2 linked regions of the Arabidopsis thaliana genome follow. The protein of the gene in region 2 interacts with the protein of the main gene of each other region in a pairwise test. Each region holds a gene or a part of one and is shown on either strand. Other genes may lie near its edges. The genes, in order: BLH6 and KNAT7.

The links.
Region 1: the proteins of KNAT7 (region 2) and BLH6 interact in a two-hybrid assay, tested with the Arabidopsis thaliana proteins (2 studies listed by BioGRID, with this or other methods).

What each region holds. Positions count from the first base shown.
Region 1 is NC_003075.7:16,528,037-16,537,788, forward strand, and holds BLH6 (BEL1-like homeodomain 6), read right to left. Parts: upstream 5,327-9,752; 5' UTR 4,750-5,326; exon of another isoform or gene 4,538-4,749; 5' UTR 4,463-4,537; coding exon 3,812-4,462; intron 3,621-3,811; coding exon 3,253-3,620; intron 3,177-3,252; coding exon 3,116-3,176; intron 3,029-3,115; coding exon 2,510-3,028; 3' UTR 2,310-2,509; downstream 1-2,309. Other genes in the region: AT4G34600 (uncharacterized protein), read left to right, coding at 1,244-1,328, 1,604-1,650, 1,803-1,922; SSR16 (small subunit ribosomal protein 16), read right to left, coding at 7,048-7,210, 7,781-7,826, 7,924-8,056; AT4G34630 (prostatic spermine-binding-like protein), read right to left, coding at 9,057-9,656.
Region 2 is NC_003070.9:23,334,063-23,344,184, reverse strand, and holds KNAT7 (homeobox knotted-like protein), read right to left. Parts: upstream 7,019-10,122; 5' UTR 6,718-7,018; coding exon 6,436-6,717; intron 5,538-6,435; coding exon 5,417-5,537; intron 4,863-5,416; coding exon 4,663-4,862; intron 4,569-4,662; coding exon 4,437-4,568; intron 3,978-4,436; coding exon 3,837-3,977; 3' UTR 3,493-3,836; downstream 1-3,492. Other genes in the region: NRS/ER (nucleotide-rhamnose synthase/epimerase-reductase), read right to left, coding at 326-781, 1,226-1,675; AT1G62981 (transmembrane protein, putative (DUF1191)), read right to left, coding at 9,361-10,122. UniProt on the Arabidopsis thaliana protein: May be involved in secondary cell wall biosynthesis.

The sequences.
Region 1 (9,752 bases), on a different chromosome or scaffold from region 2:
CTCTCATTTTGTAATAGAAAAATATATAGCGGTGTTTAACAAGATAAATTATGCTATCTATAACATTCTAATCCAGAATTTGGTTCCATTTAAAAAATTAATTAGGCCGGTTTTCTTCTAAATGAGTTGTGGTTTCTTGTTAGGACGTGCACTCATACCAGCCTTAAAAAAATTAGTGACAAAACAAAACTGAAATTTTTAACAAAAATAAATAAATAAAACAAACAAAACTGAAATTAAGAATCGTGAGGGTACGGTCATCATCCACTACATCATCTTTACTCCTTTTTATGTGCAACCATAAAATAATACGTCGAACATTAATTATAGTGACGAATCAGTTCATTAAAGCAAAGTTCAAACAACTTTGTTCTCTTTCCATAATCTCAATTAATCAGTAATCCATTTAATTTATCATTGTGTGACGAATCAGTGCATCGAAGCAAAGTTTAAACAACTTTGTTCTCTTTTTTCCATAATCTCAATCAGCAATTCATTTAAGTTTAACACTTTTTAGCAAAAAATTATGAGAAAAATTTATGACTCTATCTTTCAGTAAGTATGTTATGATCGATTAATTTGAGTTAAACGAAGTAGTGTATCATATATAGTATATCACTATCAGATTTATAGAGGCCTAATCGTACATTATTCAGTTGGTTATAGCTAGCGATATCTCTTGATTGGAGAATAGGAATGGAACTTTGACCGATATTGAATACCTAGTCTTCAAGGATTCTACAATATAATTATGATGATTTGGTAAATTTAATTGGGTTATGATAATGAAGGCACTCATATTAAATAATCAGGTCACTAACCTCTTTAGACTTATTGTGGCCAACAATAGGAAAGTAGTCTCCTTTCAACTTTTTCTCCAATCCCACCATTTCCATGAACAATTTTTTTAATTAAAAGCATTAAGAGATATTTGCATTAATTAAATGATGGATAAATCAATTGTTGTTATGGTATTTTACTATTTTTATTTATTTGTAATTGATACAATCTAATTTTGAAACTCAAGCTAATCTCTATTTAAACCGGTTTTTATTGTTGCTTTTTATTTAAAGCATTCACGTTGGCTAAACAAATTAGTTAACTTTTAATCGTGTTATTTCTTTAGAGATTATATATAGTGATATACCAAACGCATTGGCTTCTCTTTTTTTTGATAAGGTACGTGTATCTAAATACACAAGATACAGCTTAAGGCACATCAAAAATTGAAAGGAGAAAGAAGATGGGTTTGTTGCCATTGGTGAAGAAACTAGGTTTCATCATCTTTCTTCTAGTTTCAGCTTCAGCGTTTGCTCTCTGTTCTGCAGGTTTGTTTCTTACTTTTTTTTCTCTCTCTCTATCTACATATTTATATTCCTTTGTTTGCAGCTTTTCTCTGCAACTTCATGTGCCTCCTACTGAGATCAGTCTTTTAGAAAGTAAGATAATAACATTAAGAGCTTGTGCTCTCCACATGTGTGTTAATGACGACTAAAGGAGAAAATTAACGACATAGTATGTTACGTTAGTGTTATTTGGATTGATTAATCTTGGATATAAAGAATAGACAAGCTTAAGTCTCTTTTTTTTTTCTTTTTTGTAGGCCGATCATCCATTTTAATCTATAGCCAAGAAGATGATCATCCCGAGGTATTCGTTTTAACTCCAAAAAAAGTTGCCAACTACCGTGCGTTGTATATCTTTACTTAGTAAAAAACCGAACAAATTGATAATCAAGATCGTAGTTATATGATTTCAAGAACAATTTTGTACGTTGGTGAATACATTCTATTTGTGGACAGGTAGTAGAAAGAAGAATACATGAGCATGAGAGAATTCTGAGAATGAATTCAAGAGACTATGGCCACTCCAGTCCTAAACCAAAGCTCGTGAGACCTCCTTTCAAGCTTATTCCCAACTGATCATGCATATCACCGATCGACTATATATAGATGCCAGACTTTCTGAGATGTATAATATATGTAAACCTAAATACTAACACTGCAATAAGTTTGAATGATAATCATATATATAAGTTTCAAGATATGTTTTCTAGTAAATTAATGATTAGATAGTGCTCTTTGCTATCATGCAGAATGTAAATTTGGTGAATAGTCATCATTAGATGAATATTACAATTTATCTGATAGAATCCTTATGATCAAAATTAATATTGAAATATTCGATTAATTCTGAAAACGGATACAGATTGTATATGTGCCAGACAAAAAAAAAGAGAAGAGAATTGGGAACGTTGCAGTTTCGTAGATGTGATAAGATAATAAGTCTACAGTGTAATGTCCATCTCTTGCAGATCTCAAATTGCATTTACCATATTCTGTTTGGTCCCAATGACCTAACCTCACTTATATTCTTGTACAAAAGAATGTTTACTTTATACAAATATTTCTAAAACTTTTTCTTCTGACCAACATTCTTCCACTACAGAATTGAGACTGATCATAAGTTCATCACACCTATGCTTTATTCCTCTCCATTGCTTACTTCTTCAAGCTACAAAATCATGTACCAATTGTGAAGAATTTATCCGGTTCTGGCGACTTCCGGGGTTTACATACTCCATTTCATCTCCCGGGATGGCATTCTCGTAAATATCCACCCCGGAAAAGTTGTTGTATGCCTCACTAGACATAGCCACAACATTGTCCTGTCCTTGAGAGTTTTGAAGCCCTAGAGTCAAGGACACATCACCACGACCCAATCTTGACGTATCAGCCACATGATATGTAGGCTCAACTGCCATGAACCGGCGACCATCCATATGACTGCCTTGGACCATGCCACGAGTTTCCTCGCCATATCCATGTCCATGGTCCGGTTTGGTCTGGTCTTGTGAAAACTCTCGAGCTCGATCTTCATCATCAGCAGCAACAGGTCCTATCTCAGACATTTTCGGTGTATTTTCGGAAGACGAGTTGGAATCATTCTCTGTGAATTCCTCCTTGTATATCTCCTCCACCATTGGCTTCCATAAACGCACTCGTGCATTTATGAACCAGTTTGAAACCTTTTACAAACATAAAACACACAACAATCAATAAATAAACTATACTATGAAGAGAAAGAAACAATCTTCAAATAAAACATTCCTTACCTGACCGCGGCTCAAGCCCGTTTGTCTTGCTAGCATGATCTTATCAGAATCCTTTGGGTAACTATTCATGTTTTCAAACAGTAATCATCACTATTTATGAAGAAAATGTGTGGAGATAAGATTCAAGGGAGACTTACGGGTGAAGAAAATGCTCAAAGAGCCAAGCACGGAGAATCAAAACAGAGTTTTCAGGTAGACCGCGTTGAGGTCTCCAAGCTTGAGGTTGCATAAAACCTCTTTGTTGTCTTAAATGTTGATCAACGTACTTAAGCCGGCTTATAATCCCAACTCTTTTCCCATCTGATCCATCTTGTTGTTCCCCAAGGCATTTACGTAGCACGAGGATTTGTCCGGATATCGCATCCCTTAGGCTACGAAAATGGCGAGAAATTGTTTGAAGGGCGAGTGCTGTGTATGGCTTAGCTGCTCCATAACCAGCTATCACATCGAACGAGGATACAACTATCTGCATCTGCTGGTAATATTGCTTATATCTTCTATCCACCTTTACCAAAATCAAGAAATATCTCATTTTCTTAAATATTCAACATATCCTATATATACCAAATGTAACAACATTATGGCTGCAATTTATTTAAATGTATGCTTTTTTGCATTTAAAATATTATAACAAAAGGCCTATAAAAGGTAACCATCACATGATCAAATTAAGAAGATTAGGTCTCAAGTTATTACCTCATCCAACATTGACAAGAGTTTTGTCAACTTGCTCTGCATTTCTTGTCTCTCCGACTGAGAGATGTCCGCAGGAGGATTCGTGCTCGAGTCTTGAGTGCTCTGATTCGGTTCTTGAGGGTTCTCATTGTTTTTATCTCCCTCTGCCTGAAACTGCTTTAGAGCTTTCTTTACATTAACAGCCTCATCTAGAAGCTGTTGAGCCGCCTTAAGATACTTTGAGTTGGGAATTGTTCTCACAACATCCAAGTTCTGATTCCCGCCCGGAAAACTCTGTGTTGCATACTCATTGCCTCTCGGCGCCATATTTTGATGGCTTATCTGATGAATTCCTGGAAGAATCTGTGAACCAAGGCTAAGGGACAGTCCCTGACCGGTCTGAAGAATCCCCGTGGCACCTGCCATCGCGCTCATTAGCTGGAAACCGTTCCTGTCACTCGCTTGATCTCTCCAAGAACCGAAATCTTGACCAATGTTCTGCATTTGTGGAACTCCCCCAAATCTGGACAATGCTTGCCTCTCTTGTGAGGCTGAGACATTGTTAGCTTCAGTTCTTCTTTCTCTACCGGCTGATTCCTCAGAGTAAGAAACTATAGCATTCTGGATCATTGAATCTCCGGGAATAAACTGTGTTTCTGGATAATTCTCCATCGAAATGGAGTGTTCTTTTTGGCTCACTTGAGTTCCATAGTCCCTTGTTTTCTGATCAGGTCGTAAGAACTTAACCTTATGGAGGAAATGCTTGACATTAAAGACAGATTCAAAAACAATTGAAACAGAGCAGGATCCATATAATCAGTGTATTGCTAAGAAACATGTAAGATTTCAACATGTCTTGAATATATGGTTATGCATGCAATTATGGAGATGCAAGCCAAATCCATAGACAACAAAAAAAAAAGAAGAATTGTATAGAAATAAAAAGATTAGTAAATTACCTGGAAACCAAACTGCTACTTCTGATGGATTGTTGAAGGAGACAACAAAATCTTGAAAAGAATTAAAAATTAGAAAATGTGAAAGATTTTATTGATATCTTAAAAGAAAGAAATCAGAAGGTTACGCCTCTTTCTCTTGGTTGTGTTTTTTTTTTGGTATGAGATATAATTTGAATTCATCATCTCATCAATGTCACACGTGAAAGACCCATATCATACTCTCCCTCCTCCGGAAGAAAGAAAGAATGGAAAAAAAAAACTTTGAATTTCTTATTTAATAGTATATAATATGGTAATAAGAAAATCAAATAAAAACTTTATTTTGTTTTCTGAAGATATTGCTTCAGAAAGCCATAATCTGGTTGGTGCTTGAACCTCCTGCTTCTTGCTTATTGATTCCTGGAGTCAAGTCTTTGGTAAAGAGAAGAAAATTATTGTGAAAATGTTATATAAATGTATGGTTAAGGAGTTTCTATCTTTAACAACCAGTTGGTCGACCTAAACCCCTCTCTCTTCATCTTTCTCCCAATCCTAAACCTAATCTTAATCCCAATCCTTATCACTCTCTGTCTCTTAATTACACATTGATTAAATCAATATCCTCCATATAATCACATTTCTATTTTCTTTACTTAAGTTGAAAAGTACAAAGAATCAAAGATGCTACTAGCTTCTTGACATAAAGTCATCTTAAATTTAAATTTAAATTCGGAAGTGTTGAGTTATATAGTTTATTTTGCAAGTAAACAATAAAAATTTAGCAGATTAGTAGATCGTGGTGAATTTTGATTAAGTATATATATCACAACTTGTTTTTCTGATGAATAGGTCATTAACTTATCATTATAAACACATAACTAATGTTTATTATGTGAGTTTTGATTAAGAGTATTAGCTACTTTACTTTTTAAGTAAGCCAAGCCATGATTGTTTCTTCTTCCTTTTCTTTATATATTTCTTTCATACTTTTTTGGTATCTGATTATACATTCGTGGACTCTGGTCGTCCAGAGGCTATGCAACTATTAAAGAAATAAGGGTCCCAAAAAATAACAAACACAACTTTTTCTTCTTTTTTATTTTCATTTTGTAAACACCATAAGTGCTCGTTTTCCCCACTGAGTTTTGTCTTTTCCTGGAAACAACTTGTAGATATTTATGGATTAGTACTTTTTCTTTCAAATGCTTCTAAACTTAGCATTCACTTTCTTGTTTGACAGAAGTCTATATCCTAAGTCCTAAGTCCTAACTTGGTAACTACTATAATCTTTAAGACTAGGGTCCAATACTGATTAGAGGCTGAGAGAATCGTTAGTTCCATGGGCGAGACTTGAGAGCAACAACACAAAGATAATGAGAATGACTTAGATAGTGATAGGAAGTTGATCAGGGTGGATTTTTGAAGAAATATAAAGTATTAGGTGTAGAATGAAAATAGAGGTATAGCTGTCTGAATAGGGACAGATGTTGCAGCGAGAGGGTCAGAGCCAGAGATGCCGTAATAATACGAACAATGAACATCTCTGAAGGAAGAGAGAGAGAGAGAGAGAAAGAGAGAATCTAATGGGATACGAAGCGAGAGATTTTGTTGGCCCAATAGAGCTGTAATGTCCCAAAGACACATCCTTTTTTCCATAACTATAACATTTTTATTAGAAGACCAATTTAGTTTGAAATAGATTATTGTCTAGTTACTAGTCTCTTGCATGTGTTTTTAACACATATAGACGATACAAATACATTTTGGCAGATATTGAAACCAAAAAGACGGAACAAAATTTTGAAGAGAAGCAATATAAGAGTTTCAGACCTATATGAGAATAAGAACTAATTTCAAGATCAACGAGATTATATAACTACTACCATGTAGAAGTAAAGATATACATAAAAGGTAAGAACGAGGTTCTAATGTCCAAGATCATATTCAGGCAGATAACTTTTTTTTTTTTTTTTTTTGAGCAAATATGGGCCTAATTCCTTTTTTTAGCATACAATCCAGATATTGAGAATGAATCTTATTTTTGAAAATATGGGCCTCTTACCAAAGCCTATTTAGTCTAAAGTGAGAATTGTTAAATGTAAAAAGGCATGCTCATATTAAAGAATAAAAATTCACCAAACTCTGTTGCAGAAAAGTCTTAACCAACATAACATTAAACTGCTTTCACATAGAAAGCAAAAGTCTTAAACAACATTACATTAACTCCTTTCACATAAACAGAAAAGTCTTAAACAACATTACATAAACTCCTTTCACACAGACACAAAAGGCTCTTTCTTGCTCAACGCATCAACACTCTTAGTTCAAGATTTCACCTGTAATGGGTGAAACATGTTGGCTCGTAGACTTCTGCCCATTTTTCGAACCGACCACTACCATAGGCTTTGGTGGTATCAAACCGGCCCTGAAAAGCATGCTTTCCACTGTGTCTGTTGGTTGAGCTCCAACAGATAACCAGTACCTGCATTATTCGAGTACCATAGAGTGAAAATCAATTTCTTTCAACAGTTGCACAAAATAAAAAAGAAGTTTAGTTAGACACCAAGAACTGTGTGGATTTAGACTTTTAAACCAGTCTAATCAAATCAATCATACAAGCAAAACCAAGCCTCACAGAAAACTTGCACCAGATGAAATGCATTAGGTGTAGAAACAACCAAACATGACTGAGAGAAGCAAATGAATTAAGGATTGTAGCCTTATGCAAATAGAGTTTTGGACACAGAATCAACAGAAAGCATCTCAATTTGTCACAATCTAAGCAATTAGGCAGCATCATTGTGGCAAGAACAAGTTTATGACCTTGCAGAATACTAAAGAGAATGAATTAAGATGATTAAAAGACAAACAAGAAAACACATTCATGAGGAATAATCAATCATATGGATAATGTCGAGAAAGAGACTCTTTAGTGTTTCAGTCTTATCAAACAATCATGAGTTTCACATCTAACTGGTGTCCTAAAATACTTGACACAATTATACAAGCAAACAGGAATATGAAGATGATAGAACAAGTAAAAAAAACATACTTGATTCTGTCGAATTTGAGGCTCACTCTATCCGCATCTTCTTTGCCTGAAGACGTACAAGTAGATTCATGATAGCAGAGACATTAGGAAGTGTTCAATTTTACTGAGAATTGAGAAATGTATATAGAGGAGAAATAACGAACCTTGGAGTGGATCATAAAAGCCTAACACCTCGATTTGTTTACCGTCCCTGCGCGATTTTTCATCGGCGACAACTACACGATAGAAGGGTCGGTGTTTACAACCAAGACGCGCGAGCCTTATCTTCACCGTCATCTCTGCTTGGAAATTGAGGTCTGAGAAGTGAGAAGAAAGAAGATAAGTAAAGGTTTTTATTTAAGCTGGTGGGTTTTGGCTTTTTCCCCTTATCTGTGTTCTCTTTCTTCTGTTACGATCGTTATTGATAAGATGGGCCATGTTGGGCCAGTTTACATTTTATCTCTTTATTCACATTAAGCCCATTAGATCTGCTATACGTTTCTTTTCGTGATTTGCTATACAGAAGTCACTTATCTAAAATCTCGGATTATCCAGAAATTCCAAAATATTCAATCAGCTTCCTGTCTTTAAGGATCTTCCTAAAAGAAATTGCTTCAAAATGTTCAATTTGAGAACACCAGCATCTTGTTATCGTATAGGTGTTTGACTGTTAGTAGAGAGATATACGAAGTCCATAGTGCATGCAACAAGTTAGATATAATAAAATAAAATAAAGTTATCTCCAGTCTCAACCACTCAGATGTCGAAATTCAGAGTGATGCGTACATCCTACGAGTATGACTTTTCAAACAACCACCAACATTCACAAAAATTGCAAAAGCTTCTACAAAGATAACCAAATTAACCACCACCAAACACAAACCTTCTTCCTGTTAAATCATTGCTACAGTTTAGCTGTCGTTTTCAATTCTAAGGTTCACACAAGATTAAACGAGCTCATCTATCAAGAGTTATTATGATCCATTCATCATCTTCTCCATTTCAACACTACAATTTGCTAACCCAAGATTCACAATCACAATCTGATCAACCAAATTAAAGAGCCATCAAAGAAAGCGATCAGTTAATGAACAATGAATCCTAAAATGCGAGTTATTTAATTTCCATCATGTACAATGAGATCTTCAGAAGCATCCGAATTACTTACTACTAAAGAGGAATTGAAATTGAACTAACAAATTTACACATCAATTAAACCCAGAAACTGAGAAATTCTACCGAGAGTTCTTGAAGAAACCATCCCATCGCCTTGTGAAACTTCGAAATCCCAACACAATCAGCACTTGAATTTCATGCCGAGACCATGCTTACCACGAACGATACCAGGCTTCAAAAACGGAGATATCTTCGAGGCATAGACCTTGGCGATTGCTCTTTTCCCCAGTTTCCTCATCCTTTGTCTCCCCACCTTCTTACTCACGCTACGCGGAACCAACTCTTCGTCAAGATCATACGAATCGTCGTACTCGCGATCTTCTTCGCCGTCGTCATTAACACTATCTCCGTACGTAATTCCAACAGAATAACCAGAACCTCCACCGAGAAACATCATCCGCTGCTGAGACCATCCAAGATCATTCTCATCAACTTCATCGCGAACGACATCATCGCCAACATCATCATCACCATCCAGATCCACGGCGAGATCACCACCGTCAGCAATAGGAATTATCTCATGCGGCGGAGAAATGACAGAGGGTGCGACAAAGGAAGCGTCGTCAAGAGATATGACGTCATCGTCGGAAAGACTATCGACGGAGAAAGAATCGTCGGAGAACTCGCCATCAGAAGGATTAACAACTTCCCAGAGATCGAGATCAACTTCTTGATCGAGAATGAGAGGAGACATGGTGATAACCCTAGATCGCTGCGCCATTTTCGAAATTGTGTGTTGTTTAGAGGTTGCTTCTTTGATTTTTCAAGACTGTTTGTTTTTGATAACCAGAGGAAGTTACCCTATTAATAGAGGCAA
Region 2 (10,122 bases):
TTCCGATCCAGATTTCAAATGTAATATTTTAGGCCAAGGCTAAGATCTTTCTGATCCTCTGGATGAAAGATAGTTTGATTAACAAGAGTAAATAATGCAAAATAGTACATTTCTTATTTGTAATGAAACAAAAGTTTATTTTAACAATACAACAACATTGGGAAAAAGAAAAACAAAAAAATAAAATACAAAAAACACAACAATTTTTTCAGCCCATAAACCCAAAAAAAAAAAAGATACTTCTTTTAAAAACCCAAACTTTTTTTGTCTTTCATTTGATTTGTTTTTTTGGGGTTAAGAACCGTTTACCTTACAAAACCACATTTCAAGCTTTAACTTCAGTCTTCTTGTTGGGCTCAAACACGAACTTGATCAGAGACTCTTTGATAGACATCAACTCAGGGAACTCAGTCTTCAACTTAGTTGCATCAAGCTCATTGTTACTCCTTGGCGCCACAATCACTTTAGCTTGTTCCTCCAATGTGAAGTTCTTCCAAGTAAAACTCGGGTCAATGTAGTCTCTGTACATCTCCAAGATCTCGTTGTGGCTCACAACACCCGGGTTAGTGAAATTGTAGATCCCGGTTAAGTTCCTCTTCGCCATTTCGATTGATATCGGGAGAAGCTCATCGAGGATTGTCATCGAGTTTGGGATGTCCACAACTTTCTCATACCGAGCAATCTTCGTGATGAAGTTTCTCGGGTTTGTTAGATCCGATGAAATCGGCATTCGCACTCTTAGCGTGCATACATTTTCATAGTTCTTGAGCAGCTCCTCCACCTGAATGATTCACCAAGATCAAAACCAGATTCCAACAGTCAATACACGAGCTTATCATGATAATGATTATATGAATCAATAAGTTCTGGTCAAAGTATTTCATCTGGAACATTTTTATTGCTAATTTAACATCTAAGACCTAAGCAATCACAAGTATTGAAACCAAATTAGCAACAGGTCAAATCTGAATAATGTCCTAAGTAACTAAAGGGGTCAAAATGTAAATTAACGAAGCTCTCACAAGTCTAATCTACAATCATCTGAAACAATTTGAGAGCTAATCTTACATTCAAAAGTCAAAACCTCAACAATTCACACAAATCAGAACTTAATTTACTAAAAAATCTTAGATTTTGGGGTTTACTCAAAGAAGAAACTAAAGATACAGATCAAATCTGAAGTTATTCATAAATAAAAGGATTGAAAATGTAAAAAGTTACTCACCATAGCTTTGGTTTTAGAGTAGAAAGATCCGGTGAAATTAGGAGTATCCTCCTCCTTGAATCCAATACCCGACCCGAGAGGATGACCCGAATCATACTCAAATATACAACCCGTAGCGTAATTGATCAGAACAAGTCCTTTCTCTCTGCAAATGTCAGCGAGAGTTAGGGTTCCGGCGACATTAGTACGAATCGTCTCAACTTTGTGAGATTCGCACCAATCAACATTAGGACGACCGGTGACTCCAGCAGCGTTGAACACGTGGCTAGGTTTCACGGATTCGATGTCGGCGACGATCGATTGACGATCTTGAAGACGACCGGAGCCGTAAGTGTAAGTGATTCCTTGAGCTTCGCAGAGTTTACCGAGTAAACCACCGATCCATCCGGTTTTACCGTAGATTAGGAAGTTAAATGAGCTTGATGATGAACCGTTTGCGTCTGCAACCATTTTTTTTTTTTGTCGGTGATCGGAAAGTTTTCGCCGGAGAGATATAAGAGAGAGTGTGTGGATCTGAAGGAGATGGTATAGGGAGACGTTGTGATCGGTGTTGCTTCTTTTTATCCCAATTTCTCGGGGAAGCAATAATCTTTTTAGTTTTTTTCTTTTGACCACCCATCGTTTCTTATTTGAGATTTGTGACCCATGAGTTTTTTTTCATGAATATTTTAGGAAATTGTTAAATTTAGGTGACATTACCAAAAATTAAGCAAAACATGTGTAGATAATTGGAGTAGTGATAAATTTTTGTTATTGAATTTAAGAAAATGTTTTCATTAGTACTTATACAACTAGTTAACTTAAATTTAACATAAAATAAACAAGTTATCCCGTTTTTAAAATTATATGATAAAAATAGTTCTATGGATAAAAAAAAATGCTATTAATATTTTTATAAGAAAACTTGTTATTATGTATAAATTTGTTGTTACTTTATACACTTTTAATAGCATAATGTAGAACTTTTATTCAGTAAATATAAGAAGACTTTATAAATTTTATTTCGTGGAAATGTCATTGAAAAAAATGTGTTAGTAGGAATAACAAAAAATTATTTCAATATATGAATATAATATGTGACAGATCACCCTAAACATGAATTATTGTGTTTCGTAGTGGTTTTGTGTGTTTAAAATAGTTTATTGTTGTCTGAATTTTAGACAGAGATCTGTGAAAGCGGTGGCGTGAGAAATTATTAGTTAAACACAAAGGAGATTCCACTTCATTGGGTGTCTGAATTTAAAATATGTATTATTCGTTGCAATTTTAATTAAAGAATCTCTTTTTTTTCTTTTTACCACCCTTTTTCTGGTCAACTACTACTCATACTATTTTTTAATAGTGAAAATTAAAAAGTTCGAAGAAAAAGAAAAAAACACTTAAAACACGTTACTGTTTTGAATTTACAATTCACAATTATCGACTATAAATGCGTATATTATATTAAGCATCCGAATCTTATGAGATCAAAGAGCTAACTTAGCAAAAGAACCCGTTAACGAATCGGTAACCCTTTAAACATAGTATCATTTCAATAAATATACAGATACATCTCAATTACAAATTAATGTAGTGATTTATATCATATTCATATGTACATAATTCCACCGATTTTTGGTACTAAATATTGTAATTGCAAAGTTTCTATATATATTGTAATTGATTTGACATCGAAACTAATGAGGTTTAAACCAAAGATCTGGATCTATACAACATTTGATATATTAAGCATATAAAACTCCAAATGTACAAATCCCCCTGCCCTTAAATACCATACACGTTATCGAAAATATATACGTATGTCACTAACATTCATTTATTAAGCAGTCAGTCCAACTTCTTTTGTCAAATTAATTAGTAGTTTAATGTTATAGTAATCGGGGGTTACCATAAGGCATAAAGTAATGTCTTTACTTTTATATATATATATATAAACAGATCGGATCTTCTGTCTGAATCGTAGTGGACAAATGATGGCGGCATGTGGTGACTTTTCTAAGATAGTAAGATCCCAAGTTCTCAATCTCAAGAGCTATTTTTTCTTTTTTAATGAATACATCATATATCTATTTCTCGGTCTAGTTGTGTTTGTAAACTCGTTTGAAAATATTAAGTTACACAAATCTTGGTATCAAATAAAGAACTAGAAAACTATACGTTAATTAGTTTTTGAGAATACCAATAATCTAAACTGGAATTAAACTAATCCATTTTTATGGACGATTTCTTTCATTGATCGGTCCAAAGATATTATGATATGGCTTATATTTTATAAAACACTGCCTTTTTTGTCGGCATCATTACTTTATATTTCCAAATGATGGTCTAGTCATCCACGGAAAACACGTTACAAAATCAGTGTTCTTACCAAAAAGATAAATTTGAATGCACAATACAAACAAAATGAATTACAATCTAGTAACAACCAGTAATCACGCAACGCACAAATCATATAGTAGTCGGTGGATCTAATAAGCTAAGTAAGTACATGATATTAATGATCACACCTCGTTATTATCAGTAACATGAATTACGTATGTATCATGCATGTCTTAGCAGTGTAATTAGTATGAATATATGTAGAGGTAGTAACTAATATAGTAAGAAGAGATTAGTGTTTGCGCTTGGACTTCAAGGAAGTGAGGGAGTGAGAGTTGTTGTGCCAATTCCTCTTGCGTTGGTTAATGAACCAATTGTTGATTTGCTTCAACTGCAATCCTGTCTCCTCCACCAATTTTGCCTTGTCATCTTCCTGTTCAAGACACATATTTTTTTACATTATAAATTTGTTGTTGTTAATGACATTTTAGGAAAGAAAACAAAAACAATCAGTTTCAGTTTCAACGAAGAGAGGCCAATGCATGTGCAGATCTGATAGCGTCAAAGGCTATTTCTTTTCCACTATAGCATGCAACTTTAGACTGTAGTCCACCTTTTTGGCTTGTGCCAAATATTGAACGGGAGAGAGATGTATAGTGTTTTTGAGTATTAGTAACAAATTCAGTATGTTTGAAGAATAGAAAAAAAATGCATGTTGTGACTTTGAGTGTAACCAAAATGGGTCTTGATTGTTTCTTTGCATTTACATATCTATCTTCATTTGTTGTTTCATGTTATAATGATTATCATATTATTTCATGAAAACGTAAACCCAAACAAACAATTAGACGGAAACTATATTTGTTGTTCGTAAAATATAGAGAGTACTCACCGTAGGGTAAGGCCATTTGCAATGTTGTTGCCACCAATTTTTCAAGACAGTAGTTGTGTCTCCTGGCAATTTCCCAGCCCTTCTCTTCCTCATTATCTCTTCTCTTACATCTTCGATTCTCGATTTAAAACCCTTATCCGAAAAATAAACAAACGTCATAACAAGAAAATAAATAGTAAAATAACTGTATTACTATTGTGAATCATAACATATTAGTTAATTATACCTGTTTGAGTTCTAGTTTGAGTTCTTGTCTGACTCTTTCCATAAGGGATCTTTCCGATTCAGTCGGTAGCAACGGACCAAATCCCGTCATATCGTGGCCGCCGCTAAAATCAACGCCGGAATTATCTGACGAGAAATCCATCGGAAGATCATCCTCATCCTCCGACATAGTCGCACCCGACCCTTCTCCTAAAGTTGCTCCTACAAGAATACAGAACGTTTTAAACGAAATGTTACTCCAACAGTCAAACTACAAGATTTAGACGTCAAGCCCAAGCCCAAACTTAGGCTCAAGCCTGATATGCCCTTACGCATACAATAATCCTAATCAATACATCCCACGCTTTACGTGGTCATCAGTGCAAAAATAAATATTTTTAATAATTTCGTATAATTAAGAAATTTCATCTTTAGACTAATCATATAATATAACTATATAAGCACAAATAAAATCTCTATTTCTTATTGTGTGGGCATATAATATACTCTTCCTGATCATCTTCCAACACCTTACATTTAATATGTTTACTAGTTGTTCATATCTGGTATGATCAGCAAGAACCTTTAGATATACCTAACTCTATTATTTGTTTTAACTATCGCTAATTTTTAACAGGAATTTTAATTATATATATCTTAAGTACTTTCTGATTCTATAGCTATGTGGTATATATAATAACATGTAATTATCATGAAGTTATGTTTTTTAATTGGGTTATAAAAAATACCATTAAAAAAGTGGAAAAGAAAAGAACCTGTAAGAGAATGAAGGTTGTTCTCAATTTCACGGCAAGCCATAACAGCTTCGACGGCATGAACCCTCACGTGCTGTTGCAGCTGTTCTTTGAAGCTACACAACACCATTACATATTGTGCCTGTTTCCAATTAATTATAATTGTTAAATGTTTTATATATCCTCTCACATTTCATATAATTATTCAATGTGTAAACATTTTCCACATATATGCATACACACATATAAATATGTGCTTCTGGTGTGGTGTGTTTTGAGCGGTTAGATCATTATATAGTCCTATTTTCTACCTAACTTAAATAAATATAAATAAAACCGAATTTTTTTGGAACATTTCACAAGCTAATTCCAAAATTATAGTTGCAATATCAATTCCAACTTTAATGCAATTGCAAATTTTAGGTCGGAGTAGAAAATCAATCGTAACTAACATGATAATATTCAAAGTTTAAATAGAATTTCAATTTAATTACAAAATGACATTTAACATTGACTCACTCTATGTGAAATTTAGCACCTAACTATACAAAAAACCATATCTACATCTATGTGTGTGTATTATACATTTGAACATTCGTGTGAAGATACATAAATTTCCATGAAAGTTGAACAAAACCACTTCTTCACAAAAATCAGGTAAAAAAATACCAATAACTTAAATCATTGGAAAAAAACATAATTTGTTTGAAGTATAACTTCCCACAAGAGGAATTAGTAATTATAAAATTTATAGAAATTGTTGATATATTGACAAAAGGTTTACATCTTCGATCGATAAAACTCCCAACGATCTTGTAAAAAGTAAAACACGAAAATCATTGAAAAAAACATAATTTGTTTGAAACATAATTTCCCAACAGAGATTGGTTAGTAATCATAACTTCATTCAAAGTTAGTCCACTAGAAACCATCAAAAAAAAACTTTCAAATGAAAAAAGATAGAAACAGAACTTGTAAGTAATTTAACCAAACAAGATTATTTTTTAAAATATAACTAATAAATTTATATTCAAACGTACCAAGAAATTATCGAGCTCGTGACGATCATGATGGTATCCAACGGCCGTGGAAGCGTAAGAACGGAGAAGATGATGAGATTGAGAAAGCTGAGCTTCAATGATCGGAAGTTGATCTATTGGAGTAGCTACTCTTAAACACGCCACGTGTGCGGCTAATAATTGCTCATACATCGGATGTGTCGCTATCTCACCTTTCAACTGTCTATTCTGCTCCGCCACGACCGCGGTGTCTCCGTCTCCGCCTACGGTGGCTCCCATCATACCTAGTGCCGCTTCTTGCATAACCTTGACACAAGACCGGAGAGAGATACTTTTTGTGTCTGATCAAAACCCTAATTCTTGAAGCAGATTGTGTTCGTATGATTAGAAAAAGAGAGAGAGAGAGAATTGTCAGATGAAATCAACCTATATAAAGCTGTCCTGATTTCTTTCCCCTTTAATTGTTTTTCACTCCATTCTTTTCTAAAAATATACATTATTTGTTTATAGATTATTTTGTCTTATTTGTATACAAAATACATTTAAAACAATGTTTGTTATACACGGGTCTGGTCCGGCCATACCATATATTATTTTTACATAGATCAAATTATATTGAAAGTATTATTTTTGTATTGTTAATCGAAAGACTGAAAACTAGAATTACTAATTTTCATCAGATATGTGAATACAAACACACGGACGTTGATTGTTTTATACGGTGATTGTTATCTTTACAATTAATCTGAATTACTTTAGTCTAGAAAACTGCTACTATATATATGTTTGATTCCACAATATGCTGATATATACCTTGACGTAAAGTTATGAAAAAAGTGCACGTTAACAACGTGCTTTACAAAAATCATAAATACGTGTATATGTATGTATATAAAATGTAAACTTAAAATAAAAATTAAAAACACTTTTATTTTCCTTCTCGTGACAATGATTTAAGACCTAATAAGTGATCAACAACTTGAACTTAAAAATTAGTTGAAATTTTGAAAAAGAATGAGGAAAATAAAATATCTTCCCACCTTTAACGACAGGACCGGTAGACACACCTAATCCTCTAACGCCCACTTAACAAATAGTATTAACACCTAATTGATAATACTATTTAATAGTATAGAAATATAGTATATTTGTTTTCTTCTTTTGGTAAAGAACAAATATAATTAGTTATTCTTTTAAAATATTAAATACTCAATTACGTGATACAGTTAAATTTTTTTGGACAAAATGTGATACAGCTTTGATGCACCATTTCTTAGTCATATAACCTTAAAACAGTAACACTCTGATAATTTAATTGCAGTATTATTTGATAGATAGAAAAATGCTTTCATATTTTTCCTAGTTTGATATGAAGTTAATATAGCACACAAACAATAGTTTGATATATGAACTTTAATATATACTAATAGTTTTTAGCTAGAATTTCAGAAATATCCATAAAACTGAAAAAAAAAAAATTGATGTGTTGTGAAACGTTGTTAAGTCCGGATACTCTTGTGGCATGGTTTTTTGTAACGTCATGTAATAGTTCCGTTCAGAATTACAAATCTTCTGAACATACATGTTGGACGTTAAAAAAATTATTTTTCCACTTCATCGTTTAAAAAAATATATTCTTAAATCTTCTGGTTTTCCTCCGGCTTGGCATATTGGAGCCAATAGCCATCCAAGTAGTCTTAAGTTTTTGCAAAAAAAAAACTGCAATTAATTACAAAAACTAAAATAATATTTCATCATAACAATGGAATCCTTGGTCGTTGTAATTGCATATGTTGCATGTAGTTTATATCGTAATAGGATTAGATCAAATATTTTTAATAATGCCAATAATACATGACACAAAAAAAACTAAAATAATAGCACATAATATATTCTATAAACAAAAATAAAAAATACAAATTAAAAGAGGATTTTGCATATTATTAAATGAAAAAGAGAATAATGCACGCCTTCACCAATATGGAAAAACTACTTTCCATTTCTCCCTTTTTATGTAGTTATGTACAAATTCCCTTTTGTTTTACGCAATGACATCAAAAATATTCGTTCGTATAGAAAAATGAAAGAAACAAAATAAAGAGGGACAAAGACAGAGTTGGTCGAACAAAGAAAAGAGGGACAGAATTGTCGTTCTCTTAAGCCTAAGATTTAAGACATCTCACATCTGAAACAATTTGTGGTCCTATGAAAACGACTTCTCAACTTATAATAATGCTTTTGACACAAAAAAAAACTTATAATAATGCGGCCATTAATCAGAGAACAATGAGATACTATTAGTGACACGATACTAAGTTTTAGTGATTTAATGTACGGGCCATATAATATTGTGAGTTTGGTGGACCTAAAAATAATTCTCATTGGGCACTTCATTAAGGTCTCAAAGCCTAAACACTTGTACACATGGGTTCGTAATTGTTTCCGTGTGTGATATTACTAGCATAAAACGTTTCCTAGCTATGTGACTCCTCAAAAAAAAAAAAAAACTACCATTTGATTAGAGGTAGATTTTCATCAAACATATTGTATTCTTATGAAGACGCCAGACGGCATATTTCATCAAATTATAATTCTTGATGCCTCGTTAATTAACGTGTAGGCAACGATCATGTTGTTTTTTTTGGTGTAAAAAATGACCATGTTTTATTGTTTATCAATGACTTTGAATGTAACTTTGCTCATTTGATTTTCTTTAATAGTTACTACTTACTACTAGGCCACTAGCGGTGTTACCTTGTAAATTCATCACCGTGAAAGAAAGAAAAAATCATCACCATACGTACCTTACTTGTCACCAACGAAATATATATATATGTCCCAAAACCCCCAACAACATGCATTTTAACATAAATTAAAACCGTTTTTACAAAAGAAAAAAAAAAGAAAACAATCCACAAAAACGGAATCACACGTAAATATAATTAATTAATTAGGAACAAACTCATATTCCATGAAACCTGGAGAAGTCCTTGTAGCAGAAGCAACGAAAGCCCTAGAATGCCCCACCATTGACACTACTCTAAAAGCTTCTTCTTCATAAGCTTTTCTCTCCATTTCTTCCCTTTTTGCCCTTCTTCTCCTTTTCTTTGCCGTCACTACAGCAGCCGCCACCACCAGCCCTAAAAGCACCACCCCCACCGTCACAGACCCAACAAGCCCTCCAACAACCTTCCTCCACCGTCCGATCTTCTCCTTCTTCATCTCCTTTTCTCCTCCACCATTCGATTTTGGATCATCCGTCACCACTAAACCAAAATGTCCATTGGTTTTAACGGCGCACACAAACGGCTTCACTTCGGCGGCAAGCGTTACTTTTCCATCAAGTTCAAAAGTAGCGCACATTGGCTTATTCAAGAACGTTCTCTCTACCACCGACGGTCCAGAAACGTTCCCAAAATCAACGTTGGATGGATCTTTAGTACGGGCTAGGAGGAGACTTATCTGATAAGAGCTACTCACGTTATTCCCTAAAACAACATCGTTTAATGCGTTATAAGCTAAGAGCCCTAGAACCGGAGACACAAGTCTATAACCGGAGAGATCATAGTTTTTGTAATATATATCGGACCACTTTGATCCCAAGCTTTGTCTCACAACCAAAAGACGTTCACCACACGGCTCAAGAATAGCTCCAACGCCAATATTGAATTCTTCGATTTTTGCTCCGTATCGTCGGAGACTCCCACA